Sus scrofa: one gene and its partners. The protein of the gene in region 1 interacts with the protein of each later gene in a pairwise test. Links are inferred from orthologs where the notes say so. Each region holds a gene or a part of one and is shown in the gene's direction. Other genes may lie near its edges.

Region 1 (3,500 bases):
GTGTCCTCATGGATAGTAGTCAGATTCATTTCCACTGAACCACAAGGGGAACTCCCCATTATCTGAATTTTAAAACTTAGCATAATTGGGGTCAGTGTTTCTAATTCAGAAAATCTGTTGGTATACAGGTTACGTTGCAATTTTTAGGTGGGGAAGAGGCAAAATGTCCTTCAAATGGCTGGTTTCTGTGACCTGAGACTCCCTGGTTCCCTTTGAGAAGGAGGATGGAGAGGAAGACAGAATCTAGAACATGGGGCAGCCTCTTTATTCCTAGGGACACAGCAGTGGATGGGGGAGTGGGGAGCCGACTTCTAGACCAAGTCTAGACGTGGGGAGGAGGAAAGGATGGGAATAGGACCGAAGGCAGGGTGGAGGGAGAGACTGAGTGGACCTGCCCAGTGCTTCCTGTGTGTCTGTGCTGGGCCCGCACAGGGGCGACCCCACCACGTTCTCTTGCCACCCAGGGTCTGGGTCCTACTCAGGTCACAGGGGAGTCTCCAAGCCTCTGGAGTCTGCCATGAAGTAAGCAGTGGTACCCAATTCTGTCTGCCGTCTGTTTGGCCAGAGTCTGCGGTTCCTGATCCCACTGGCTGCCTCCAGGCCCGGTGAGGCCACATGCAGGACTGGTGTTCAGGAGGCCCTGCTGCCTGGGTTTGTTAGAATAGTGACAAGCTCCCATGTTTTAAATGCTTCCCTGTGCTTCCCAAGTGCTCTGGCCAGCCAGCACCTTTTCCAGGACGCCTGGGCCTCAACAGGCCCCAGCAACTAAGGGGTTCATGCCCTGCACATCTGAAACATAGCCTGGGCCTATTCTGATTGGTTGTCAGATGCGGTGACGGGCCCCCCCGCCCCCGGTTCTGTGTGGTGACTGTGTCTCACTGTCTACCCGTATTGCATGTGTGGGTGTGGGTGGGTGTGGGTGGGTGTGGATGTGTATGGTGTGTGCTCAGACATGGAGCAGTACCAGAGAGGCATGTCGCTGCTGGGAGCATCCCATAGCCATTATTTGGGGGACTCACTGCACCCCCAGAACAGGTTGTCCAAGCAGGAATGTACCTTGGGGCCTCCCCAGAGCTCCACTCCTGGGAAGCTTTCGCTTGTCCCTCTGCCTCTTTTTCACCATCTTCACCACCTTCTCCCAGGGGTACAATGCTGAACAGTTTCCAGATGTTCTGTGCAGGTCACTTCATCCCCTCTTCCTGAGAACACCTCTAGCAGGGAGAGCAGATGGTTCTAAGCTGGGTGACCCTGGTCCTTCTGGGAGAGCCAGGAGGAAGGTTCCCCCTTGCTGAGGACACTGGTGAGGCAGGCTGGTCCACAAGCCATGCTTTCCGACACCTGGAGAGAGCCGGCAGTCAGGAGCCTAGAGTCCATGGCACCTTCAGGCTCCATGAGGCTGATGCCGGCCATCGAGGGTCCAGCTGGGGGCCCTGGGTCTGAGGTGCAGGTAGAGACCAATGTTTAGAGACAGGGAGATGCTTGTGAATCAGTGCAGGGCTCAAGAAATTGCTAGTGCTCCCAGGAAATGGGGCCCAGTGCAGAGGCGGCCATCTGGTCAAAGGGCCATGGCAGCCAAGGAGGACACGGGTATCCACGGAGCCACCATGCAAATTTCAGGATCCAGAGGACCAGCCAGGCTGATGGAGCTTAGGCATACTAGCTGGGAATTGTGTGGCCCTTGCTCTGTGCCAGACACGGTCTGAAGGCTCCGTGATATGCCATTAACCAGGTGAGGAGATAGCGGTACCAAGAGGCTGAACAACGTGCCCAAGGTCGCAGAGCTGGGAAGTGATGGAGCCAGGCTGTGAGCTCCAGCTGTCGCCCCTGCTCTCACCCAGCCATCCTGCGGTGCCTGTGAGGGCCCCCCAGGACTCATCCCCAGCACGCTGGCCGCCACGCTCAGAGCTGTTGGCTCACTCCTGGCCCTTATGTTGCTGGTCTTTTGTTGCTCAAGTCCTGGGCACAGCAGAACAGAGAGAGATGGATAGAAATTAAGGCTCGGCTCAGCTCAGCAAGATGCGGTATCGGGAAGTGTCTTGATTCCCAGAACCAAGCTCTTGGTACTGTGCCCAGTGGTGTGGTGTAGAAACCCCTTGGGGTCCACTGGTGGTCCATTTTCTCTCCTAAAAAGCAATAAGGGGTTCCTAGTATGGCTCATTAGTTTAAAGACCTGACAGAGTCTCTCTGAGGATGCAGGTTCCATCCCTGGCCTCACTCTTGGTGGGTTAAGGATCCAGTGTTGTGGCCAGCTGGTTATAGGTTGTAAATGTGGCTCAGATGTGGCATTGCGATATCCATGGCTTGGGAACTTCCATATGCTGTGGGTGTGGCCATTTAAGGGAAAAAAAAAAAAGCTGTCAGTTTCTCATACCTGGAAACGTGTTTCCTCCAGCGCCTTTCCCTGGGGCCTGCACCCTATCTGCAGGTCCACCCTCAGTGAGCTAGCACTAAAGCCGCCTCTTTCTGACCTGTTGGCAGGGCTCTGGAGCTCACCAGTGGCAAAGATGAGATCTCCTTGTTGGTGGAGCAGGAGTTCTTGAACCTCACCCAAGAGCACCTCATCCTAATCGCAGAGAGCTCGGGAGAGCTAGAGGCACCCGGCAGCCCTCCCGGGGGACCCCGACCCCCGGCTCCCTGCCTTCTGGTGCCTTCTCTGGTGGCAGGCAGCAGTGAGTGCCCGGGGGCCTCCATCATCACCGGTGACCAGCTTCTGGAGCCGAAGGTGGCCGTGTCTGTTGTCGGCAGCCGGCAGGACTGCGATTCTGCCATATCTACAGTCACGGGCATCCTGCGTGCTGCCAAGGTCAAGGGTGCCAAGAGAACGGAGGATCGGGGCCATGGCCTGGGGGCCTCCAATTTGGAGATCAGCAAGCTCCTGGCCCAGTTCCCACTAAAGTCCCCTGAGACGTCCAAGGCCCCCGACAGCAAGGTGGTGTTGGAGGAAACCAGAGTCATCAAAGACTTCCTGCAGAACAACATGTTCTCTGGCCCTGGACCCAAGGAGCCTGCGGGGCTGGGCCCGTTCCTGCTGCTGCCGCCTCCCCCTCCTCCCAGGCCTCCCGACAAGCTCGAAAAGCTCCTCGAACTCCCAGCTCCAAAGAAGCAGCTCCCGGTGTTTGCCAAGATCTGCTCCAAGCCCGAGGCTGACCCCGCCATGGAGGGGCACCACTTGATGGGTGAGTGGGACTGGCAGCAGGGCTATGGAGTGCGTCTGCAGGGAGGAGAAACTTGCTGGAAAGCGAGTCAGGCTGCATCAGGCACAGGCAGCCTCTTTGTGCAAAGTAGGAAGAGACGGCCTCGAGGGTGAGCTGGGTCCACAGGCACAGGCTGTTTTCAAGCCCCCACAGGCCTCCTCTGCTGGATGCCTGTATACAGGGCCTGGCTCGTGCAGGCAGGTCCTGTGGTCCTGAATTCAACGTGCTCTGGGAAGAGAGATGGGCCCATTTGGTAACTGACTTGGTTTTTGAATCCACAGGTACCCAGGTACAATGGAAGGAAGC
Region 2 (3,999 bases), on another chromosome or scaffold:
CCTATGCGCAGCAGCTGGAAGCAGGGCAGCATGGGCGGTGCCCCCTCTGCACCACCTCTTCCACTTCAGGAATCCATCACTTCCCAATCCTGGGCCATGCACAGCTGGCCTAAGTTCTCTTTCCCTCTGATGCAGAGTTGAACTGTGCTTTGTGCAATCTCAACCTTGGGCACGCTCCCCGAATAGTGTAAATTCAGAGTGCAAGGGCCTAGGATTCGATGCAAGATTGGCTGTCAACAGTTTTCCAACTGAAAAATTTCGTGAGGGTCCCAGTATAGTGCAAAGACGAAGATGTCCTATGGCACGAAGTTGAATCAGATCCTCAGGCTGCAGAATATTCCGGGAGCCTTCAAGTCTGTGCCAGGCAACAATACGTTAGGCAGCTTCTGGGGAATATGCGAATTGCAAGGGGGGAGGACTGGGGTCCTGCTTCTGTGTGATACTAACTTGTCACCTCAGTGTAATTTGGAGAAGTTTCCTGTCAATTCTGCTAATCCAAACAGAGTAACCCACCTGCTAGCCTGCGCCTCGCTCTTCTGGCCAACCCCTCACTCATAACTAGATAGCTTAAACCCCCGTGGGAAGTCTATCCACTGTCATCCCTCCAAAGGCAGTGCAAATGGGTCTCTATGTTCTCTAACAAAGCGGATCTAAACCCCTGCTTCCCGACTTCTCCAGGTGGGATTAAAGACAGGATAGGGCTTCCCGGGATCATGCGAGGGAAACCCAGCCTTTTCCCTCCCCGCCGCAATCCAGATTCTTATCTACCGCGAGGTGCAGTCTCGAAGCGGTCCCCTCTCCGGGCAGTGCCAGCCTGTGCGGCAGCTCAGGATCTCTCAGGCTCCGGCCAGGGCTGGTGCTCCAGCGGCTGTTTGACAGCGAGGAAGCCGGGGCCAGGAGGGGCGCCGTCTCCGCGCGCGGGCAGTACCGACCCCGCCTTCGGAATTCCCGGGTCTGAACTTCGCGCCGAGAGAGCCCGCCCCCCGTGCCGTTTCTGATTGGCCATCTCTTTTGCCCTCCTTCTCTCCATTGGGCGACGCGCTGGGAGGGTCTCCGATCTCCCGCCTTCCGCTTTTTCTGATTAGTTCACAAGTTTTCCCGGGTTCCCGGAGTTGGGAGGAGCCGCCAGGGCGCGGAGATGCCCTCAGTGCCATAATTGGGCCGGGCTTTAGACTACCGCGCCTGCGTACACCTCTTCCCCTCCTCCTCCCGGAAGGGTGAAGGGCTTTAGAGCGTCCCGCCAACCTGCCCGCTTTGCGCAGGCGCGGTCAGGGGCTGAGGCCGCGCTTCTGAGCTAGGGGTAGGGGGTGTGGTCAAAGGGCAGAGGGGTCGCTCGCGCTGGGTAAGGGGTATTCGGGAAGAGTCGGTTGGGGGCGGGAAGGGCCAAGAGGGGGTGCGGGGGTGGGTTCAGGGGTCCACAGGGTGGAGGGGTACAGGGTCCGGGTAAAAGGACAAATGAAGTGGTCAGAACAGCCCTAGAGCTCCTCGTCCAGCAGGGCGAAGGCTCAGGAGTATCTGCGGGAGAGGCGGGAGGGAGAGCAGGCAATTGAATTGAGAGATGAGCGTGGGGGACCAGAATAATTCCTTCTGGATCAAAGCAAATTAGGATGTAGGGAGGGGCATAGGAATCTCAGATTGGGGGGGGGAATAGATGGATTCGGGTGGGAGGGTGGGGAGATCTTGAAGAGCCGTCTCTTGTCTGGGGCTCTGGAGAGGCTGGTGGGAGACAGGAATGGAAACTGAGAGGACAGTAGAGAGAAACTGAGCAGGGAGTTGCTGGAAGGGTTTGGATGAGATGACTTTTCTGCCAAGGGGTCTAGGCTGCCTGGATTCCCTGGGGGCCCCATAGGTGTCCTGCTCTACATGTAGCCATGCTCATCTGGGGCCAGGCTTTGGATCAGCGCTTTGATAAGGAAGGACCCAGGAGTCATGGCTTGGTGGTGTCTGGATGGGCTTCCCCAAGGCCTTGCTGAGCCATGGAGAGAACTCCGGCGATTGGGCTCACAGCCCCTGCACCGCACACCTTCGTCATCTCCATCCAGGAACAGCAGAGACTGTAGAAACTTAAGGAGGAGGGTAAAGGCACTGCCCAGAATTCTACAAGTATGAACAAAACCTAAGAGCTTCCCAGCCTGTCTCAGTAAATTTGTTCCATCTCGTGGCTGTTGCCATAGTTCTGTTAGGAACCAGATTGAGACAAGCAAGTGATTTTCAGATATTTCCTGCTTCTTTTGGGAAGTAGGAAAAGAGGAGCTAAGAGTCGGCCATCCCTGGCTGTTATTTAAGGCTTTTGACTTTGCTGTTGTAGGGGCTCTCTCTTTGGAAGGGGGCTTGAAAATTGAATTGGAGTGTCCTTGTTTCTCCTATTGTCCAGGAGAACATAGATGACTGGACACAGAATCTAGAGACTTCAGATGATATGGAGATGTTTCGACGTTCAGGTCAGTGGGATCTTGCAAGGGAACTGGTGATTGTGTCCCCCTGGGAAACTGACCATCTTTGTCCTTACGATTCCTCAGGTTCCACCAGGCTGATACCCCCATCCCACTTCCAAGCTCGGCCCCATCCAACTCTGCCGAGAATGGCTCCCCCTTGGGTCTCAGACATTCCCTTGGTCCAGCCCCCGGCCCATCAAGATGTCTTAGAGAGGCTGTCAGACAACCAGAGACCTCAAGTGACCATGTGGGAAAAGGAAGTTTCTGGCAAAGGGCAGGAGCCAGGGTGGCGAGGCAGGTAGGGATCTCCTGTTGCTGTTTTCTCGGGCTTGCTTGCCACTGTCCCTTCTTCACTGAAATAGATTCCTTTACCCTATTTCAGCCCTTCATTCCATGATTTCTTCATTTGTACATAAGCAATTGTTGGTGCCTACAGTGCACAAATAATAATAAGATGATGTGCTTGATGCTAGGGACAGGGGTATCAAAACTGAAAAAGAAAAAAGAAAGATCCTGATATCATGGAATTTAAAATCCTAAGGGAAGGAGTTCTCTTGTGTCAAAAGGGTTAAGGATCCAGCCTTGTAAGTCCAGTGGCTCAGGTAGCTGCTATGGCACAGGTTCGCTCCCTGACCTGAAAACTTCCACATGTTGCAGGTGCAGCCAAAAAAGAAAGAAAAAAAATTCTAAGGGAGGAAATAGGTTGACCCACAGCCGATTGTATTAAGCGTAGAATAAGGTAAGATGCAGTACCTGCGGGGAGAACAGGCCATGTGCTGTGGTAGCGAGGATTCGTCCTGAGGGAGCTGTCCGTGCCATCTGTCAGTGTGTTACCTGTGAAAATTCTCATTCTTGATGTTTCATGGGTGTCTTCTCCCAAATGTATTGGAACGTCATCCTGCCATTTTGCTCAAGAGCAGGATTGCAGATGGGTCGACCTTGGATCCCATCAAAGAGAAAAGAGCATGATGACAAAAGGGGAGCACTGGAGTGAGAGTCAGACTCTTTGTGGCTAATGTGGCTACCAGCTGGGAGTCCTTTGGCCGTCACTTAATGACTCTAGGCTGCAGATCTTTGCTTCTTGAACAGCAACAAAAAAATGCTGTTCTGGGCCTCAGTGAGGAAGCTGTGTCAAGAGCCATGGGATAAGCTGGTTTAAACTTTATGCGACACCAGTAGACTGGTTGAGACTATGTAATTTATTGGAAGTGCTACCCTCTCAGACATCTCATGAGTACCTAACACTCAACTGATTTTTTTTTTTTTTTTTTTGACTGCCCTGAGGCATAGTGAGTTCCCGGGCCAGGAACTCAGATCTGAGCCACAGATGCAGCAATGCCAGATCCTTAACCCACTATGCTGGGCCAGGGATTGAACCTGCATCCCAGTGCTCCAGAGATGCAGCCAATCTATTGTTCCCCAGCAGGAACTCAATATATGACTTTCCCCTAGCGTCTGGCCCTGCCATATTGACACTGGAAGTTGTGACCTCTCTTTGCACCTTCCTCAAACTTTTCCTCACCCTTAAATCAGAATTCAGAAGTCAGAGTTCCCATCATGGCTC
Region 3 (3,948 bases), on another chromosome or scaffold:
CCACAGCTCACGGCAATGCCGGATCGTTAACCCACTGAGCAAGGGCAGGGACCAAACCCACAACCTCATGGTTCCTAGTCGGATTCGTTAACCACTGCGCCACGGCGGGAACTCCTCGCAGGCCCTCTTAGTGGATTGCATGAATCTGGTTTCACAGTCCCTAAACCCTGAAGCATCTTTTTTTTTGCAGGGGTGGGGTCGGGGGTGGGGTGGTAATTTAAATATTTGCCTCAGATTAGCTACTTGCACTTTCTTTCCATAAACAGACTTTTCTATACCATGAGCTAGCATGGGATCATTGGGTTTCTTAAGAATACCTATTTGAATTTTGTAGGACCTGTTTTCCGTAATTATGCTTCGCCTGAGTCTTCTCATACATTTTTACCTCCTGCTTTTACTTTTCCCATCCCTCCCAAATCAACTTCTTTTGACAAACTGTTCTCCTTCCTTCACTATAGGTTGTCCATTCATAATCTGACCCTATTCCAAGCACTCCCTTAATTTATTTAAAAAGCAACCTGCTTAATCAGTGATGAGTTTCTTTATATTTTCCTCTTCATGAATTGAGTCTCCAAAAATAAAATGGTAATAATTAATAATCCTAGAACACATAAAAAAATAATCTGCTCCACTGCCTCAGGCAGAGTAGCCACTTCAGCTACCATCCACCCTGTCGCTCAGGTGCTCTGAAATGTCTGCTTTTCCCTGGGGACTTGAGGGTCACCTTCAGAAACCTTAGGCCTTCTCAGCCCAAGTGATAATCACATGAGCAACCTCAACCTACCAATCCCTCCCTAAACCCTGCTCTCGGAACAGCCTTTGTCGGTTTCCAGGATTTGGTTCCCTCTTTCTTCCTCCTCGGCAGGAAATGACTCTCATTTTCTTCTGTCACGCTGGTCTTCAATCCAGGGATCCTTTGGGCTCACTGTTGGGGAAACTCTCCCAGATGATACCCTTAGAGACGCCGGAAAAACCCATAAGCCTTGCCCTCCCCTCCCTCGAGCAGGATTCGCCCACGTAACCCACCTTGCCACTTGCAGCGCCCTCGCACCGCAGGCCCCGGCCCGGTCCTGCGCCTGGCCGACCAATCCCCGACTCCGCTCCGGGCGCGTCACAACGGCGCCCTTGTGGCCCCACCCCCATAACCCGCCTTGGAGACTCCGCCCCGCCGCGGTCTTTACGTCCTTCCGGCTCCGTCTTGGAAGTGGGGTTGCGCCGCGTCTTTCAGGAGCGAAAGGTGGGGTTCTGCAGAGAAAACGGCCCGCGGTCACGCCGGCAGCCGGAGGCGGGGGCGGGGGCAGGGGCTCCTGGGGCTGTTGTTCCCGGGTATTTGGGCGCAGGTCTGAGGAGGGGAGGGTCAAGGCAAACCAAGGCATAAGGGCTTCCGGAAGCGCCGCGTGCGCACGACGGGCGGGAGTTGTGGACTCAGGCCTTCCGCGCGCCTGACCCCGCCCCTCGTAAGCCCCGCCCAGGGCGCGCTGCCAGAGGTTTCCATAGTGATGGTAAACAAGCCTCAACTGCCTCTGCTACAACTGCCAAGTCCCCCGCGTTCCACCCTCTTCTAGGTGCTCACAGGGTCGACCGAGGTGCCGGATGTGAAGACGAGCGGGAGCGTGGAGACTCGGAGCCCAAGGTGAGGGGTGGTAGGGGCGGCGTGTCCGAGGCCTACACACCAGAAACCGAGGCCCCTGGCATTGAGGACCGAGGAGCTGAGATTTGGGGGTCAGGGGAGGCGGGATCTGTGGTAAAGGCCTGCACCTGGGCCTACTGGAGGTTGAAGACCGTGGGGCTGAAATTTGGGGTCTGAGATCAGGAGCCACACACCTAGGGACCGACTAGGTCCTGAACGAGGACCTGGCCCACTGAGGGTGGGGCCTGCGGGACTGAGATGTGAACTTCGGGGAGGTGGGCCTGAGGCCACTGGTTTACATTCGGGGACTGGATCGCGGGGCTGAGGTTTGGTGTCAGAGGACGCAGGATCGGAAGGGAGGAAGAGCCTGGTGCGGACTCTTGGGGTGGGGAGGCAGAGCCCGAGCGCCCCTGCCTGGGGTACGGTGAAAACATGGGGCGACCGTGAGAGGGGGTTCATTTAAAAATGAAAGCAGTACTTTCACGTGGCTGCGCGCGTCAGGGAGTTGCACGGGACTGGTTGGGAACTGACTCCTCCCCCCTCCCACGTTCCCGCTCGCAGAGCCTCCACTTTCCGTCTTTGCGGCCTTTTCTTCCTCTCCGCGCCGCGTGTGTGCCCTGAGCCGGTCTGCATTTGTCTCCTGCTCTCAAAGGTAGCATGTGGATATTTTGGTTGAAACTGTTCGGTTCTTGTTGTCTTTGCCTGGTGCCCACACTTCCGCTGGGGAAACTTGGTCGGCCGTTTTTTTATTCTTCACTTATCCTTTTATCTTTGAGTGTATTTTTGCTAATTCGTGACTGCGCCCCAGAAACTGCTGGACGCTGCCGGCGCTCGCGCGGCTCCCTCTGCCTCCCAGCCCCCGCGTGGCCCACGTAAGGTGGCGCCGAGCGGTCTGGGTGACGCCGCGCGAGACGCGGGGCCCGACCGACCCTGGGCCCCGGTGTTTTACGGTTAGGAGGCCTCAAGCTCCTCCCGGTTAGTCTTTTCCTTATCAGGGGACCCCCACAGGTTCCCGCCGGACGAACCTCAGGCCCGGGAGAGCCTGCCTCCCTTCTCCGGCTACCTGCGAGCCCCGCGAGACGCCCTTCGCGGCAGTTTCCTTCCCTTGGAGGCCCTACGACAAACCAACGTGCTTCACAGCTATTTTCGAGCCAGAGAACCTGGCGTGGGGGGAAGGAGTTGCCTGCCTCGGCGGGCGGGTTGTTCAGCGGGACCGGGGCCCGAGAGCTGCTGTGGGGGTGGGGGAGGGGCCGGGTGGCCGCGGCGGCTTCCGCGGAACCGGCCGCGGCTGGCGGCGGTGGGGGGAGGGGGGCCCAGGCTCCCAAAGTTAGGGGCGGGCCTCGGTAATCGGACCCTTGTAGAGCCGGGAGAGTTAGTTGAAGGCTGCAAATAATCCTTAAACGAATGCGTCAGCGAAACTACCGGTCTTGATATTCTTACTATTACTTTTAAGTCACGTTTTTAAAAGTTAACTATTTGTGCGTTTCTAGTAAGAATGAACAAACCTCGGGTTCTCCGGTCAGACAAAAATATTAGGATCTATCAGTGAAAAGTGATGTTTTCAGTTCTAATGAAGATAAGCTCCTTCATTTTAAAATAAGTAAATTTACTAGTTAAGCAAGTTCGGCCTTTGCCTCGGGGAGCTCCTCTTAATAGTATGCGTTTCTGTAAATTGATTAGATTTATTCTTTCCGTGTTATAGTCTACTTTTTAATTTTTAACTGCTAAGCGACTGATTTTCACTTGAGTATTGTTAACGTACCTCCCTTATAAAGTAACTCAAGTAAAAATGAGAATGGTTTAAGGGGAGGGATTGATTAAACAGGAGGAGAGTTAGTCCTTTGATAAGGTCAAAACTGGGGAAGACAACAAAAGACAAAAAGACAAAAAACAAAAAGACAAAAAAAAAAAAAACTGGGGAAGAGTGGAGACACACGTGGTGCGTGCCCTTTGGAGTAGTGCCTGGTGGGGCTACAGAAGTGGGAGGGGGGCCCCCCATCGACAGAGGTGACTTTCCCATCAACCTCCCCTCTCCAGTCTGAGTTTTGGCTCTCAGACTCTTTGTGGAATCACACTGATTGGCCCTCAGTAGTCCAGACACAGAGCTAGGTGTTTTACACTTTTCTAATCACATGCCCGCGATCAGTCCATAAGGAGATATTACTGCTATCCCCATCATACAGATGTGTCCTAGAACACATCTGGGACTGTTCTTAAGTCTGTCTGACGTGGGACATCCCTCTGCCAGGACCCCTGCCTCCAGTTAGTTGCTCTGAACAAGGGTTCTTGTGGAAGACAAACGATTGGGCAGAGGGAGA
Region 4 (2,449 bases), about 87 Mb from region 1:
GGTCGCAGATGCAACTCAGATCTGGTGTGGCTGTGGCTGTGACATAGGCCGGCAGCTGCAGCTCCAATTCGACCCCTAGCCTTGGAGCCTCCATATGCCACAGATGTGGGCCTAAAAAGACAAAGACAAAAAAAAAAAACCCACCCCACATAGCATGTTTTGAGGGGAAATCCTGCTCCTGTGCGATCAAAGCTTGGCGTCCTAAGGGGAGATTCAGGAGTCAGCCGAAGGCCCCAGGTTTAGCAGAGTTCCGCTCCGGGAGGGTGACGAAGCTCTTTTCCCTGCCGCCGAGGGACATGAAGCCCTGTCTCACCCTCCCTGCCTGTGATTTGCTAAGGAGCAAAGCTGTTGAGGCCAGACGGTCCCCCACACACCTGCAGGCCCTGCAGCCTTAACCCCCCTTCCTCCCAGCCCGCAGGGAGGGGGCAGGGGCACCTCTCGGCTGTGGGGCCGGGCTGGTGTGGGCACCTCCGGCTTGAAGCTGCTTCTGTGGGCATCCAGGCCTTGGGGGCACAGCTGGACCGGTCCTTCCCGAGGCCGAGGCTGCTGTGGGCCAACCCGCCCTCTGCCGCCCAGCATGCGCAGTGCTGAAGGTCGGGGGCGCGGACCCAGGCGCGCAGCACAACCGAGAGAGGTCTGCAGGCGTTTGTTTTACACGCGTTTCCTTCTCTCCAGGAGCTGAGGAGCCAGAAACAGAAGATTGTTTCAGAAAGGGAGCGCCTCCAGGCCGAACTGGATCACTTACGGAAGTGCCTTGCGTTGCCGGCCATGCACTGGCCCCGGGGTTACTTGAAGGGGTACCCCAGGTGACGCTCCGTCGCACGAGGCCGAACCTAGAGTAGAGAAATAGTATCTATTTTATTACCTTGAATATTTAATATTTTTCACTGGGAGGTTTGAAGCTTAAAACAATGAGAATGTGCCATGCATGAAGCAAAGGATTCCAGGCCCCAGAAAAAGAACGGACTCGCCTCGGCTTCCAATGCCATTCAGTCGTCTTGGTCATCAGCCAGCAGCCACGTAGACGCCCCTAGTTTTTCTTTCTGGAGGTGGTTTTAGTCTTTCCCCACGTCATCGTTGTTCAGCTGAAAGCGGACGCTCCGTCACCAACACTAACACGTGGTCCTCTCTCGCCCCTGGGGTTGTGTGTTCCGGAGTCTGGAGCAGGAGCGGCCGCTCGGCTCCCGCTGCGGTGGGCGCGGGTCTCGGTCCTCGGGGCCGGAGGGAGGCCTGCTCCAGCTCCCGGAAGGTGGGGTGCGTTTTAAGTTAAAGGGCTTATTTGTTTCAGTTACTTTTCCGGAAAATTCCCTTCCAAGCACCAGGTCCTAGGAGCACACAAAGCAGCCGTACTGAAGCCTCAGCCCAAGGCTTTTCCCCGGAAAAGCTCTCACCTAGAGAGAAAGCCCATCAGCCAACGGAAGGTACCTTTTTGTCACTCCACGGGCACACGCGCAGAGCTCTGTGCGTGCGTTGAGTCACAGCCACGGATCGTTCCTGCCGTGGGGGGTGTTTTCATACAAACGTCAATTTTGAGAGAATAGTCAAAGGTGCTTCAGCCTTGTACTGTGTATATATATTAAAAAACAAAGTTTTGTATGTTTTTATTACTTTAATTATTGTTATAAAAAGCCTGCCATTTTTAATATGTGGTTTGGGGGGATTTTTGTTGTTTTCCTGTTTGGGGGTTTTGTTTGTTTTTTGTTTTGTTTTTCTGGGCAAAAAAGAAAAAAAAAACCCTTGCTTTTAGTGTTTGTACTGCTGCTGGTCAGGACATTAAAATACTGAAGTGTTTTTAAAAATTAAAAAAGAAGAAAAGTAAAAGAGCTTACCACTGGCGCCTATGCGGTCGCTTCATTTCCGAGTTGCCACCAGAAAGTGCCGTGGAGCCGCCACGCTGCCGCTTCCCTCCTGCTGGCCCCTCCTGGCTCCGGATGGCCGAGAGCCCCTGGGGCCCGTTGCTGTCCAGCGAGGAGGGGCGGCTCGAGGCCCTCTGCGTGCCGTCACGCGCGCCCAGCACAGCACCCAGCCCCGGGCTTTGCTCAGAGGCCCTTTCAGGAAGTGAGCGGTTTCTGTGCTAGGTTCTAGGGTGTCTCACAGCAGTCGGAGAGCAGGTGCAGAGTAGAAACGTTAGCGGCTTTTTTAGAGGCAGAGCTTTGTAACAGCCTCAAAGTGGGGTGAACAATGAGCAGAACGTCTCCCCCTCTTGCACCTGCCGTGACAGGCACAGGAGCAGCTGGACAGGGATGACCCGTGTGAAGCCTGGGGCGGGGAGAGGCGGGGGCTTCCCTCTGAGCCCACTTATTGCTTGTTCAGGCAGGGTTTGAGCTCAATCAAGAAGGCATCTCTTGCCTGAAGGGCCTGAACCAGAGACCAGAGCAGCCAGGGGTCAGTCAGCCTTGGGGGCGAGGGGAGGAAGCTGGAGCCTTGCACTGCGGGCGCCCCCTGCCCT
Region 5 (4,080 bases), on another chromosome or scaffold:
AACTTAATGTGCCTTATTTCTGGTTTCTTGGAGGCCTGCTCTCCACAGGAAAGGGAGAGAGATCCTATCAAAGTCCCCATCAGCCCTGTTTCTCCTCTGCCCACCATCTCACAGGGCTCCCATCTCACTCCGAGCAAGCCCAAATCCTCCCTGAGCCCACAAGGCCCTGCACCATCTGTCCCGCCTCATCACCAGCTACAGAATTTGCAGGCCCCAATGCAAAACAAGACCATTCAAAAATTATTAGGAATTTCCAGACCAACACAGCAGATCATCCACCCAAGCAGAGGCCCTTCTGGAAGCCAGGCCTCTGTGCAAATTCCAGAAGCTGCTAGCCCTGCCCCTCTGCTCCCTTTTCCTCTCAAGCACCCCACCCCCACCTGTGCTAGGCACAGTGCTGCCTCAGTACCTTTGCACTGGCTGTTTCTGCCTCCTAAAATAAGCGACCAACCCCATAGCCTACTGGCTCCCTCTCTCGTCTTCAGATCCGCTTAGCGGCCAAAGAGGTCCATCTGAGTTCCCTCTGTTTAAAATCACATCTTCCCGGCCCTCCCTCCTGCTTTCTTTTCTCTATAGCTGTTACCACCATCTGACCTGCCAGGGACCTGGCTCTTTGGCTGGTCTCTCTGTCTTCTGTCTTCTCCACCAGGGTAGGGACTCTGTACCCCCTCCCACCCCCACCTGGCACACAGTAGGCGCTCCATTAATGTGAGTCAAGGTATGGCTCCCAGGAGGTCGGCGGTATCATCCCCGCCTTTCTACGGAGGAGGAAACCGAGGCTCAGAGAAAAGCCAGTGAGCCAAGGTTACAGAGCATGTCCCTGGCACGCGTCCGGGTCGCGCCATGACAGCGCCGGCGGTTTCGATGGGGGCAGCCGGGCCCCAAGCTTTGACCGATGGGGAAACCGAGGCCCTGGCGGTTGCCGAGGCCACCCGGCCGGGAGGGGCCGCGGCGGGGCGGGGGCGCGCGGGCCCAAGGTCACCGCGCCGGCCGGCCCGGGGGAGGCGGATGGGTGGGGATCCGCGGGCCTCCCCGGGCGCGCGCCCCCCCCTCGGCGGCGCGCACGGGGCCCGGGAAGCAGCAGCGGCGGCGGCGGCGGCGGCGGCGACAGCAGCAGGTGGAGCCGGAGCCTCCGCGCAGCCGAGGCCGCGGCCACTGCCGGCGTCGCCGCCATTAGACAATAGGAGCGGCGGCCGGGCGTGCGGGGAGGCGGGCGGCGGGGAGGGGCGGGGAGGGGCGCCGGGCGCGCAGGAAGCGGGGCCCGGGGCGCGCCGGGGCCGGGCGCGCGGGGAGGGGGCGCAGGAAGCGGGCGAGGCCGGGCGCGGGAGGCGGCGGCGGCGGCCCCGGGAGCTGCCGATCGGCTCCGGGACAAAGGCGCGGCCGCCCGGCGCCCCGAGCAGCCCGAGTCGGGGCGCACAGCCGGGGCGCAGCCTGCGCCCCCCGCCGCGACTGACATGATGTTTCCACAAAGCAGGCATTCGGTAAGCGGGGCCCGTCGGCCCGGCGGCCCCCCCCCCCCCCGTCCGGGCCCGGCACCCCCGGTTCCCAGCCCAGCCACCCCCCCCAGCTCCGGGCCCTGCGTCCCCCTACGTCCTGGCCCGGTATCCCCAGTTCCCAGCCGGGGCTATTCCCTCCCCCAGGTTCGGGCCCTGCGTCCCTCCAGGTCGGGGCCCCGTACCCTCCCATATCCGAACCCAGCGCCCCCTCTAGGTCCAAGCCCTGCGACCCCCTTCCAGGTCCCTGCCAGGCCAACCCCCCGCCTCCAGCTCGGCACCTCCCCCCAACTCCTGGGCCCAGTCCCCTCCAGCTCTGGGCCCAGAGCTGCTCCCCCCCCGCAACCGCCGCCAGCTCCGGGTCCCCCTCCCAGCTTCCGGGCCCAGAGCCCCCCCAGGTCCCCTTTTGCCCCCAGCTCAGAGCACGCCCCAGACCCTGGACCCTGCGCACCCCCACCCCAAGCCAGGCTGGGCCTCGCTGGCCTTGGCCTGGGGCCTGGGGCGCCCCGGGAGCCCCACTAGGCACCTCTAACGCTGGGGCTGCTTTTGGGGCCTGGGAGTGGGGGAGAGTCAAGGCGCACCCCTCCCGGAAGAGCGCGCGGCCTGGAGGAAGGGTGCTAGGAATCTGGGGTGGGCCCCCGCACCCCCGGAAGATTTTGGGCGCTGAGAGCCCCCTCTCCCAAGGGGACTTTGCCAGGAAGCCTGCCCCCGCCTCCCAGCTTTGGGGAGGGGGATTCACTAGGACGCGTTCTCCCCCCTCCCTGAGGCAGTTGGGACGCTCAGACGTGCAACCCCTCCCGGCGCTGTGGAGGCGCGGTAGAGGGCGCACCCTACCCCCCACCAAGGGCGGCCCTTCAAATGCACCCCCACAGCCTGGGGGTGGAGGGGGACGAGCGGCTCCGGGAGCACCCACCCTCCTTAGCTTCTCGGGGAGAGGCGGGGGCAGGAAGCGAGGGCGGGGGCCGAGCCAGGGGCTGTAAACACAGCCAGGGAAGTGGGGCAGGGTGTGGGGGGACGCTGCAGCTGCGCAGGCCGCAGCCTGGTGGAGGGGGGGCGCCCTCAGGGAGGAAGGTGGGTGGCGGCCCCCTCCTGGTCCTGACCCGGGCCGCCCCCTCCCCACAGGGCTCGTCGCACCTACCCCAGCAACTCAAATTCACCACCTCGGACTCCTGCGACCGCATCAAAGATGAGTTTCAGCTCCTGCAGGCTCAGTACCACAGGTGAGCTGAGGGCTGGTGGTCCCTGCCCTGGGTGAAGGTGGAGCCCCCTGCTCAGAAGGCAAGACTGAGGCCTGGAGCTGAAGTTGTGGTCCCTGCTATACACACAGAATGGGGGGAAAAAATCGGTATTGAGTGTCTCATGTGGCAGACCAGGTCTCCAACACTTACGGATATTAAATTCATTTAGTCTTTAGGACAGTCCCATTTCATAGAGGAGAAAACTGAGGCACAAGAATTTAAATAATTTGCCCAAAGACTCAGCCGTCTGGTTTCCAAGCCCCTCTCCCCTCCCCCACCCCCACCCCAGACTGCGTTGGATAAAAGACCTCCCAAGAGCTGGAGTTGGGGGCTGGATCTTCCATCGCCCCACCCACCCCTCAAAAGAAAGTCTATAGCTTGTTATCTCTTTGCCTAGTTTTGGAGAAAAGGTTTCTGGCACCCAGCAGCAAGGCGATGCTCCCTCCAGAATTTAATCTAACATTTCTAAAGGGCTTGCCATGTGCCAGATCTAAGAAAAAGGAACTATTATTATCTTCATTTTACATTTAGGGAAACTTAAACCCAGAGGTGATAGGGGTTTCCTGGGGTTGCCCAGCAGGGAAGTGGCAAAATGAGATTCTCACACTCAGTTTCTGGGTTGAAGACTGCAAAGTCTCAAGCCTTAGCTCCGGAGGGGGTCTTTGCTTGAGAATCAGAAGGGGGTCCATGGCCACAGATACCAGTGGGGTCTTGGGCTTTCTCTGGACCTCAGTTTGGTCACACAAAAGTGTTCTATGAAGGATCCTGAGTTTTCTCCAAGAAGAGATAGGAATAGTGAGATCTGTTTTTCCTTTGGGGGTGTTCCTATCCTCCCCATTTGCCAAATACTGAACATACATCCTTTTATTGAATCTTCCCTGCTTTTTGATCATATGCCCATTTCAAAGTGAGGAAACTGAGGCAAGGTGGTTGAAGGGCAGGCCCGGGAGCTTTGTTCTGGTCCTGTGATGTGGAGGGTTTAGGAGCTTTGCTTGTCAGGCCTGGCCTTTCTGAGCCTCTCCAGGGGTCCTACCCTCCCTACCTGGCCCTTGCTCTCCTCTGATCCAATCTGGCTGGCCGATCTGACTCCAGAGACTGAGGGTCAGGTTGCTGCCTCATGCTGTGTGACCTCAGGTAGGCCAGGCCCCCTCTCTGAGCTTTGGAGTCACGATCCGCTGGGCCTGGGCTTCCTGCTATACAGCGAGGAGTCCTACTGTGTTGGGGACTGGTACAGTATCTGCCAGTCCCTCAGGAAGGGCCAGAAATGCAGTTTGGAATGAAACTGCCTTTTTTTTTTTTTTTTAACAGTGGCAGCAACTGTACATTTTTAAAGAAAATTAGAGAAGCCA
Region 6 (4,146 bases), on another chromosome or scaffold:
AGGCTTTTACAAGGTTGAAGAGCACATTTCAAAGAATCCAAATATAACAACACAGCTACTGGTGACCAAGTCAGATCAGTTCTACATCTTTAGCTCTTTTAATTAGCCTCTTTCATCCTTGTTGTCACTGCTCTATTTCACTACCATCTTATCCCCATGACTGAAAATAGCCTTCTATACCTCGGTTTCTCCACCTTGTCATACAAGATTTGATGATGCCACTCTTGTGATGAAAATCCTTTAGTGTCTTATTACCCAAGATAAAATCCAAATGCCTTAATTTGGGTCCTCATCTACTCTGCCAGCCCCATCTGTTGCCACCTCCTTCACAAAACCTAAGCTACTGCCTTGAAATGCTTCCCAGTGCTTCCCCGGGAGGACCCAGGCTCTCTGATGCCCTAGGAGTCCTTGTACGTTTTCCTCTCTGCCTGGAATGCTTCCCTCCTCTCCGGTTAGATGGGCAATCAGTATTCATCATTCAAATCTCAAAATAGTTCCCCTGAGAGGCTTGTCTCCTCTAAACAGGCCTCGCTCCTCTTAACTTCCATACCCCTTTGCATATAATTGTGTTTGCACATCTGGTTTCTCTCTAGATATGGGTTCCCTGAGGGCAAGACCTTCTCTCTCTCTCTTTTTTAAAATATATAATGATTTTTATTTCTTTTTCATTATAGCTGGTTTACAGTGTTCAAGACCTTATCTCTTCAAGGTGATCATCTAGCACAGCATTTGATATGTGGCGAGTGGGACTGATCTTGATAGGATTCTAAACTTACTGGCTGTGTGTGACTTTGGGAGTGTCACTTAACCTCTCTGTGCTTCAAGTTTCTCTATAAAATAGTGCTAATAATACCCATTCAGCAGAATTACTATAAAGACTAAACAGCAAAATTCCTGTGATCTTCCTGCAATATATTTGGCACTTAGGATGGACAGCGTGGCTATATATATTTCTCTCTGTTGAATAACCTCAGAACTCAGGAAGGATGCTAATAATTATTATACTGTACGCCTACTGGGTTCCAAATACTGTCCTCGAAAGGGTTGCCATTTTCATGGTCTAAATGGGAGTCTTAACTGTTGCTCTTTAGGGGCAAAAGTATTGAGCCCCCAAACATCGTCGTTTACCCGGGTTTTTGGTAAGGACGCGGTGCGACGTCGTCCTGGTCCCTCGCTAGGGCAAAATCAGGCGCCCTCACCAAACCAACATCACTCCTGGGTACCCGATTTTACTTGCTCTGCTCTAGCCAGGAGCAAACAGCTGGAGGCCCAGCTGAACGGCCTCCAGACCGCCGGCTGAACTAACCCCGCCCACCTCGCGCTCACTGGGGGCGGGGTCTGATGCGTCACGCTGTCGTCACTTCCAGCCGGACCCGGAAGCGCTGTTGACTCGTGGCTAGAGTTAGGAAGTCGGGATGCGGCTAAGCTCAGCTTAAACCGTCGGCTCCTGGTGCCGGCGGGGCACGGAGCGGCTCTGGAACAGTGGGGCCGAGCCCTGGCAGTGTGTTCCTCTGGTGAGCTTTGGCAGTCTGTTCCTCTAGGATAGGACCAGCCCCCACCCTCTTGTCAGGGATCTGGCGGACGCTTCTGCCTGGCTGCCCCGCCGCGCCCCACATTCGGTGTCGAACAGCTGTGAGGAGCAGATGTGCGGCCGGGGCGGGGGGGGGTGGGCAGTTCTCTCCCTGTCGCTCACAGCCCCCGCCAACATCTTCGTGACCCTCTCCCAGCCTGTCCGAACGCTGTCGTAGAGCAAGCCGTCCTGAACCGTCATGGAGAAGTTTGGGATGAATTTCGGGGGCGGCCCGAGCAAGAGGGACCTGCTGGAGACCATTGAGACGCAGAAGAAGCAGCTCCTCCAGTACCAGGCACGTCTCAAGGATGTAGTCCGCGCCTATAAAAGCCTGCTGAAAGAGAAAGAGGCGCTGGAGGCCAGCATTAAGGTGCTGTCGGTATCCCACGAGGCGGATGTGGGCCTTGCAGGTGTCCAGCCCCAAAGCCTCACCTTTCCCGACTCTGTGGATGATCGATGCTCCACTCATAGCGAAGACAGCACTGGGACCGCCACCAGCTTGGATACTGCCGCCAGTCTCACCAGTACCAAGGGTGAGTTTGGGGTTGAAGATGACAGACCGGCCTGTGGACCACCACCTCCAAAGTCCGAGGAGGCCAGCGGGTCAGAGAGCGGCGTTAGCAGTAGCAGTGGGGATGGACCGCCTGGAGGTGGTGAGGTGGACAAACGAGTGCACCAGCTAAAGACTCAGTTGGCTACTTTGACCAGCTCTTTGGCCACAGTCACCCAGGAGAAGTCCCGCATGGAAGCTTCTTATCTGGCTGACAAAAAGAAGATGAAACAGGACCTAGAGGATGCCAGTAAGAAGTTAGAGGAGGAGAGGGGCCGTCTGGAAGGAGAATTGAAGGGGCTGCAGGAGCAGGTAGCAGAAACCAAAGCCCGACTTATCACGCAACAGCATGATCGGGCCCAAGAGCAGAGTGACCATGCCCTGATGCTGCGTGAGCTCCAGAAACTGCTGCAGGAGGAGAGGACTCAGCGCCAGGACTTGGAGCTTCGGTTGGAAGAGACTCGAGAAGCTCTGGCTGGACAGGCCTATGCAGCCGGTCAGGTGGAAGGGTTTGAACTGCAGACCAAGCAGCTGACCCGTGAGGTGGAGGAGCTGAAAGGTGAGCTACAGGCTCTTCGAGATGAGAAGAATCGGCCGGACCCCCGACTGCAGGAGCTTCAGGAAGAGGCCGCTTGCCTTAAGAGCCATTTCCAGGCTCAGTTGCAGCAGGAAATGAGGAAGGTAATTATTAGTCATTTAGCCTGGGAAGTATTAGGGCTTTTTTTTTTTTTTTTTTTCCCTCCTTTGGTAGTTAGAATTAAGTGGCTACACTGTGGATTTTTTTTTTTTTTTTTTTTGCTTTTTAGGGCCACACCTGTGGCATATGGAGGTTCCCAGGCTAGGGGTCTAATCAGAGCTACAGCTGCTGGCCACAGCCACAGCAACTCGGGATCCCAGCTGCGTCTGTGACCTACACCACAGCTCACGGCAACGTTGGATCCTTAACCCCCTGAGTAAGGCCAGGGATTGAACCCACATTCTCATGGATCCTAGTAGGGTTCGTTAACCGCTGAGCCGCAAAGGGAACTCCATGCACTGTGGATTTTTGATGCCATTCAAAAAGTTTCACTTGTGAGTCCTGGGAAATCCTTTTCTGTGTGTGGTGGTGTTTTTCTTTTCCTTTCTTTTTTCTTTTTTTGGGCTGTGCTCGAGGCATGCAGAGGTTCCTGGGTGAAGGGATCAAACGTGAGCCACAGCAGTGATAATGCTGGATCCTTAACCACTAGGCCACCAGGAAACTCTGTCTGTGTGGTGTTGACAGTTTCTGCAGAATGTGCTTCCAACAGGATGTGGAGTTCCTGAGTGTAGGCTGGATTGGAGCCAGATAGCGCTGAGCGTCTGGGCATTGGCATCTTACCAGCTCTGCTCTTTGAAGCAGTGCAGTGGCAGCTGCGCAGTGAACGATAAGAGTGTAGCAGTGTATAGGTAGCAGTGTATGGCTTTAGGTAGGGTGGCTGAAGGGGGTAAAGGGATTTTTTTCCAGAAGAGATCACCTCTTATATTGCTGGCAGTCAACATTTGCCTTTTCTGGAAAGGTATGCTGTTTTCCAATGTCTCCTTTCAGTGTGGGGAGAAATCCAAGTCAATTTTATTTTATTTTATTTTGTCTCTCTCTGTTTTTAGGGCCACACCCACAGCATATGGAGGTTCCCAGGTTAGGGGTCCAGTCAGAGCTGTAGCCACCAGCCTATGCCAGGGCCACAGCAGTGTGGGATCTGAGCCGAGTCTGTGACCTACACCACAGCTCATGGCAATGCCGGATCCTTAACCCACTGAGCGAGGCCAGGGATCGAACCTGTGTCCTCATGGATGCCAGTCAGGTTCGTTAACCACTGAGTCACGACAGGAACTCCCCAAGTCAATTTTGAACTTCCAGGAATATTGGAAAAGGAAAAGAATGTCATATGGTTTCTTCATGGGATTTGGGGAAGCACACTTTGTGGGAGCTTGGCCTATGGGAGGAGAAAGCAGAAATAATAAGCAAGGAGTTCCCATCGTGGCACAGTGGTTAACGAATCCGACTAGG
Region 7 (3,500 bases), on another chromosome or scaffold:
TTATTAGATTCCACATATAGGTGATATCATATGATATTTGTCTTTCTCTGTCTTACTTCACTTTAGATCTGCGTACTGCATGATTTCTATTTCCTGTGTTATTTTCTGGGCAGCAGCCAGCTGCACTGCCTCAGAGGAATTCTGTAGGAGCCCCTCCTCTTGGGGACTACAGACCACAGGGCTTACCTGGGCCTACCAGTCAGGGGCCTTTTCTGATGACGTTGCTCCAGCCCTACTGACCTTGCTGTTCTCGAACATTCCAAGACCATTTTCACCTTAGAGCTTTTGCACTTGCTCTTCTCTCTAGTTGGACAGCTCTGTCCCCCAATAGCTACACACCTTGCTCCTTCGTTTTACTCAGCCTTCTCTGATCACCCAATTTAAAATGTCATTTTCAGAATTCCCGTCGTGGCTCAGTGGTTAACGAATCCAACTAGGAACCGTGAGGTTGCGGGTTCGATCCCTGGCCTTGCTCAGTGGGTTAAGGATCTGGCGTTGCCGTGAGCTGTGATGTAGGTCACAGACGTGGCTTGGGTCCCACGCTGCTGTGGCTGTGGCATAGGTGGGTGGCTACAGCTCCGATTCCACCCCTAGCCTGGGAACCTCCATATGCCATGCATGTGGCCCTAGAAAAAAGACAAAAAATAAAAATAAAATGTCATTTTCACCCTCCTTCCTTGTACCATGTGTTTAACCTGTTTTGTTTTTTTGTTTTCTGTAGCACTGATTACTCTCTGGCCTATGGTATATTTACTAATTTGTTTTCTTCTATATCCTCAGTGCCAAGACCAAGGGCAAGAAATATTTGTTATATAAATGAAAGAATAAATAAGACAGTGTTACTGCTTCCTATATAATTCTCACAATCTATGTGTATATTTAATAATCCATGTTTTACATGGGAAAGACTTTCTAACATGCAAATTTACATTTTGGAAATGATGTCTCATTTTTATAGTTCTGACAGGATTACTTTTAAAACAATGTTAGTTAAGTTTAAGAAGATTTGAAAAACCTGCCATTTACTGAGTGGCTTCTCATAAAAGATTTTTTAAACAACTTATATCTGGATAGTGAAATATTCTTAGATAAAATTTAATTTAAAAATTTAAAATATTTAAATATATAAAATCAATTTAATTTGAACTTTATATAAAATATAATTTAGCAAAATGTATAATTTCAGATTGCTAGTTGTAATACTTCAGCTGAATAAAAACATAAGTGATAAAAACGGAGTGTATAGGAAATGGTTCTATGGGTGTATTACAAACATAGAGTCACTTAACATTTCACACTTAATTCCTTTTCTCAATTTTCAGGAAATCCAGCAATTGGAATTTTGAAATATAAAGAAAAGTATTACACTTTCAATACCAGAGATGCTGCATATTCGTTTGCAGAAAATCCTGAAAATTATATTGATTCAATTACAGAAAAAGCCAAAAAAAATGCAGAATTGATTCAACTACTAGAACTTCATCAACAGTTTGAAACCCTTATTCCATATTCTCAGGTAAGGAGGGTTGGCATTTTAAGAATTTATAACATTCTAAAGTATAGTTAATAAGGTGTTCCTGTCGTGGCTCAGTGGTTAACAAATCGGAGTAGGAACCACGAGGTTTCGAGTTCGATCCCTGACCTCACTCAGTGGGTTAAGGATCTGGCGTTGCCGTGAGCTGTGGTGTAGGTCGCAGACTCGGCTTGGATCCCACCTTGCTGTGGCTCTGACATAGGCTGGCAGCTACAGCTCCAATTAGACCCCTAAGCTTGGGAACCTCCATATGCTGCGGGAGTGGCTCCAGAAAAGGCAAAAAGACAAAATAAATAAATAAATAAATAAAGTACAGTTAATAAAATGTTACATTTTGCTGTAGACTGGTTCCCACATTCAGGTAGAGTCAGGGTCAGATGGGGACCATTCCAGGTTATCTGAAAGGCGTTCATATCTGAAGAAGAAAACCAAGGAAGTCCACAAAGAATGAGTGAAAACAAGATAAGGAATCAAATTGATGAATCAGGCTAGAAAAACCTGAAAGAGAAAGACTACATTTAGATAAATCACTGAATACAGTATTTCCTTATCTAAAATTGAAGGAACTCAGCACAAATAACATGGTCACTTACAGAGTTGTAAAATCATTTAACAGGTTTAAATTGCACCAGTCTGAAAAGTGCAAAGTGGATCTGAAGGTGTGTTTGAGTGTTGGCACCTATTTGTTAATTCATTCAATAGACATTTACTGAGCTGTTTACTGTGTGCTAGGCACGATTCTTGGCACAGTCAACAAGACAGGTGATAGTCTCTGCCTCTTTGGGGCTCACGTTCTACTCCTGTGTATTCTTGTTTTCTTCCTCTTTGTCTTTCATTTTTCACTGTTCACCTTTTGATCGCTCTGTCATCCTGTCTCTTGCTCAATTTCCCTCTTTTAAACTCACTAAAATAAAACCCTGAAACACATGGTTCATGGATGGTCTGTGTTTATTATATTTGCCAATACTGAGACAGTGAAGCAGGTGGGTTTGGGTACAACTGACTGGGTCAGCAGGGATCCCAGCAGTGACTGGTAAGGGGACGGTTGGGCTAGTGACAGGCAGAGTCTGAACATTTGGGTGCAGGGGTCAGCTAAGGACAAAGTGGTTGGAAGTTGTAGCATTGCTGTTCTGACACCAGGCTGCCAGTCTGTCAATGTGACCTCCAGCCTCCAGCCATCCTTTTGGATGATGCAGTTCTGCAGAACATTCGGCCTTTCTCCTGTTGTGGAGTGAGACTGGACTTGGCTGTTCAGTATCCTTCTGTCTGTGGGCCAAACAATAGTCCTACAATTTTGGCTCCACTGGGAGGTTACTCCCAAAATGATGGGATCAGTTTAGCTCCGGTCTCATGGGGCTTGTCACTGACCCTGCTAGCACTTACTTTTACTCCGGTTTATCATTTTTGCCAACATGATGAATTTCAGACGGAATCACTCTCACTGTTTTATTGTACATTTTTCTGATAGTGAGGTTCAGCCTTTCTTCTTACATCTATTATCCATTTCAGGTTTCCTTTTCTGTGCATCGACTCTTCATTACCTTTGCCATTTATTTTTTTTATACTGTTCTTTCTGTCTTTAACTTGTTGGTAGGCAGGAGCTCCTTGTCTATTATAAGTATTAATTCTTTTTTATCTTTTATTTATTTATTTAGTTTTTTAGGACCGTAGGTGCAGCATATGGAAGTTCCCAGGCTAGGGGTTGAATAGGAGCTACAGCCACCGGTCTACACCACAGCCACGGCACCACAGGATCTGAGCCACGTCTGCGACCTACACCACAGCCCACTGTAATGCTGGATCCTTAACCCACTGAGAAGGTGCAGGGATTGAACCTACATCCTCATGGATACTAGTTGGATTCATTTCTGCTGAGCCACAACAGGAACTCCTATTAATTCTTTACCAGTGTTAAAAGTTGCAGTGTCTTTGCCCAGTCTTTCCGCTCTCTGTTAGCTTTGTTGGT

Evidence for each region.
Region 2: the proteins of C6H1orf94 (region 1) and CCHCR1 interact in binary tests that used the Homo sapiens proteins (3 or more experiments, as listed by UniProt). The link is inferred for Sus scrofa from reciprocal best matches to the Homo sapiens genes C1orf94 and CCHCR1.
Region 3: the proteins of C6H1orf94 (region 1) and HNRNPF interact in binary tests that used the Homo sapiens proteins (3 or more experiments, as listed by UniProt). The two-hybrid records come from large-scale screens. The link is inferred for Sus scrofa from reciprocal best matches to the Homo sapiens genes C1orf94 and HNRNPF.
Region 4: the proteins of C6H1orf94 (region 1) and GSE1 interact in binary tests that used the Homo sapiens proteins (3 or more experiments, as listed by UniProt). The link is inferred for Sus scrofa from reciprocal best matches to the Homo sapiens genes C1orf94 and GSE1.
Region 5: the proteins of C6H1orf94 (region 1) and AES interact in binary tests that used the Homo sapiens proteins (3 or more experiments, as listed by UniProt). The two-hybrid records come from large-scale screens. The link is inferred for Sus scrofa from reciprocal best matches to the Homo sapiens genes C1orf94 and TLE5.
Region 6: the proteins of C6H1orf94 (region 1) and GCC1 interact in binary tests that used the Homo sapiens proteins (3 or more experiments, as listed by UniProt). The two-hybrid records come from large-scale screens. The link is inferred for Sus scrofa from reciprocal best matches to the Homo sapiens genes C1orf94 and GCC1.
Region 7: the proteins of C6H1orf94 (region 1) and CFAP206 interact in binary tests that used the Homo sapiens proteins (3 or more experiments, as listed by UniProt). The two-hybrid records come from large-scale screens. The link is inferred for Sus scrofa from reciprocal best matches to the Homo sapiens genes C1orf94 and CFAP206.

Annotation. Positions count from the first base shown.
Region 1 is NC_010448.4:90,457,933-90,461,432, forward strand, and holds part of C6H1orf94 (uncharacterized protein C1orf94 homolog), read left to right. Parts: intron 1-2,478; coding exon 2,479-3,176; intron 3,177-3,500.
Region 2 is NC_010449.5:23,555,310-23,559,308, reverse strand, and holds the start of CCHCR1 (coiled-coil alpha-helical rod protein 1), read left to right. Parts: upstream 1-1,199; 5' UTR 1,200-1,342; intron 1,343-1,678; exon of another isoform or gene 1,679-1,889; 5' UTR 1,890-1,929; coding exon 1,930-2,103; intron 2,104-2,308; exon of another isoform or gene 2,309-2,374; coding exon 2,375-2,441; intron 2,442-2,519; coding exon 2,520-2,733; intron 2,734-3,999. Other genes in the region: TCF19 (transcription factor 19), read right to left, coding at 1-32. UniProt on the Homo sapiens protein: May be a regulator of keratinocyte proliferation or differentiation.
Region 3 is NC_010456.5:61,665,146-61,669,093, reverse strand, and holds the start of HNRNPF (heterogeneous nuclear ribonucleoprotein F), read left to right. Parts: upstream 1-1,148; 5' UTR 1,149-1,237; intron 1,238-1,565; exon of another isoform or gene 1,566-1,633; intron 1,634-2,191; exon of another isoform or gene 2,192-2,282; intron 2,283-3,948.
Region 4 is NC_010448.4:3,246,116-3,248,564, reverse strand, and holds part of GSE1 (genetic suppressor element 1), read left to right. Parts: intron 1-435; exon of another isoform or gene 436-675; coding exon 676-810; 3' UTR 811-2,449.
Region 5 is NC_010444.4:75,490,928-75,495,007, forward strand, and holds the start of AES (amino-terminal enhancer of split), read left to right. Parts: upstream 1-1,280; 5' UTR 1,281-1,454; coding exon 1,455-1,481; intron 1,482-2,615; coding exon 2,616-2,713; intron 2,714-4,080. UniProt on the Homo sapiens protein: Transcriptional corepressor. Acts as a dominant repressor towards other family members. Inhibits NF-kappa-B-regulated gene expression. May be required for the initiation and maintenance of the differentiated state.
Region 6 is NC_010460.4:20,700,339-20,704,484, forward strand, and holds the start of GCC1 (GRIP and coiled-coil domain-containing protein 1), read left to right. Parts: upstream 1-1,346; 5' UTR 1,347-1,769; coding exon 1,770-2,801; intron 2,802-4,146. UniProt on the Homo sapiens protein: Probably involved in maintaining Golgi structure.
Region 7 is NC_010443.5:55,842,011-55,845,510, forward strand, and holds part of CFAP206 (cilia- and flagella-associated protein 206), read left to right. Parts: intron 1-1,322; coding exon 1,323-1,516; intron 1,517-3,500. UniProt on the Homo sapiens protein: Essential for sperm motility and is involved in the regulation of the beating frequency of motile cilia on the epithelial cells of the respiratory tract. Required for the establishment of radial spokes in sperm flagella.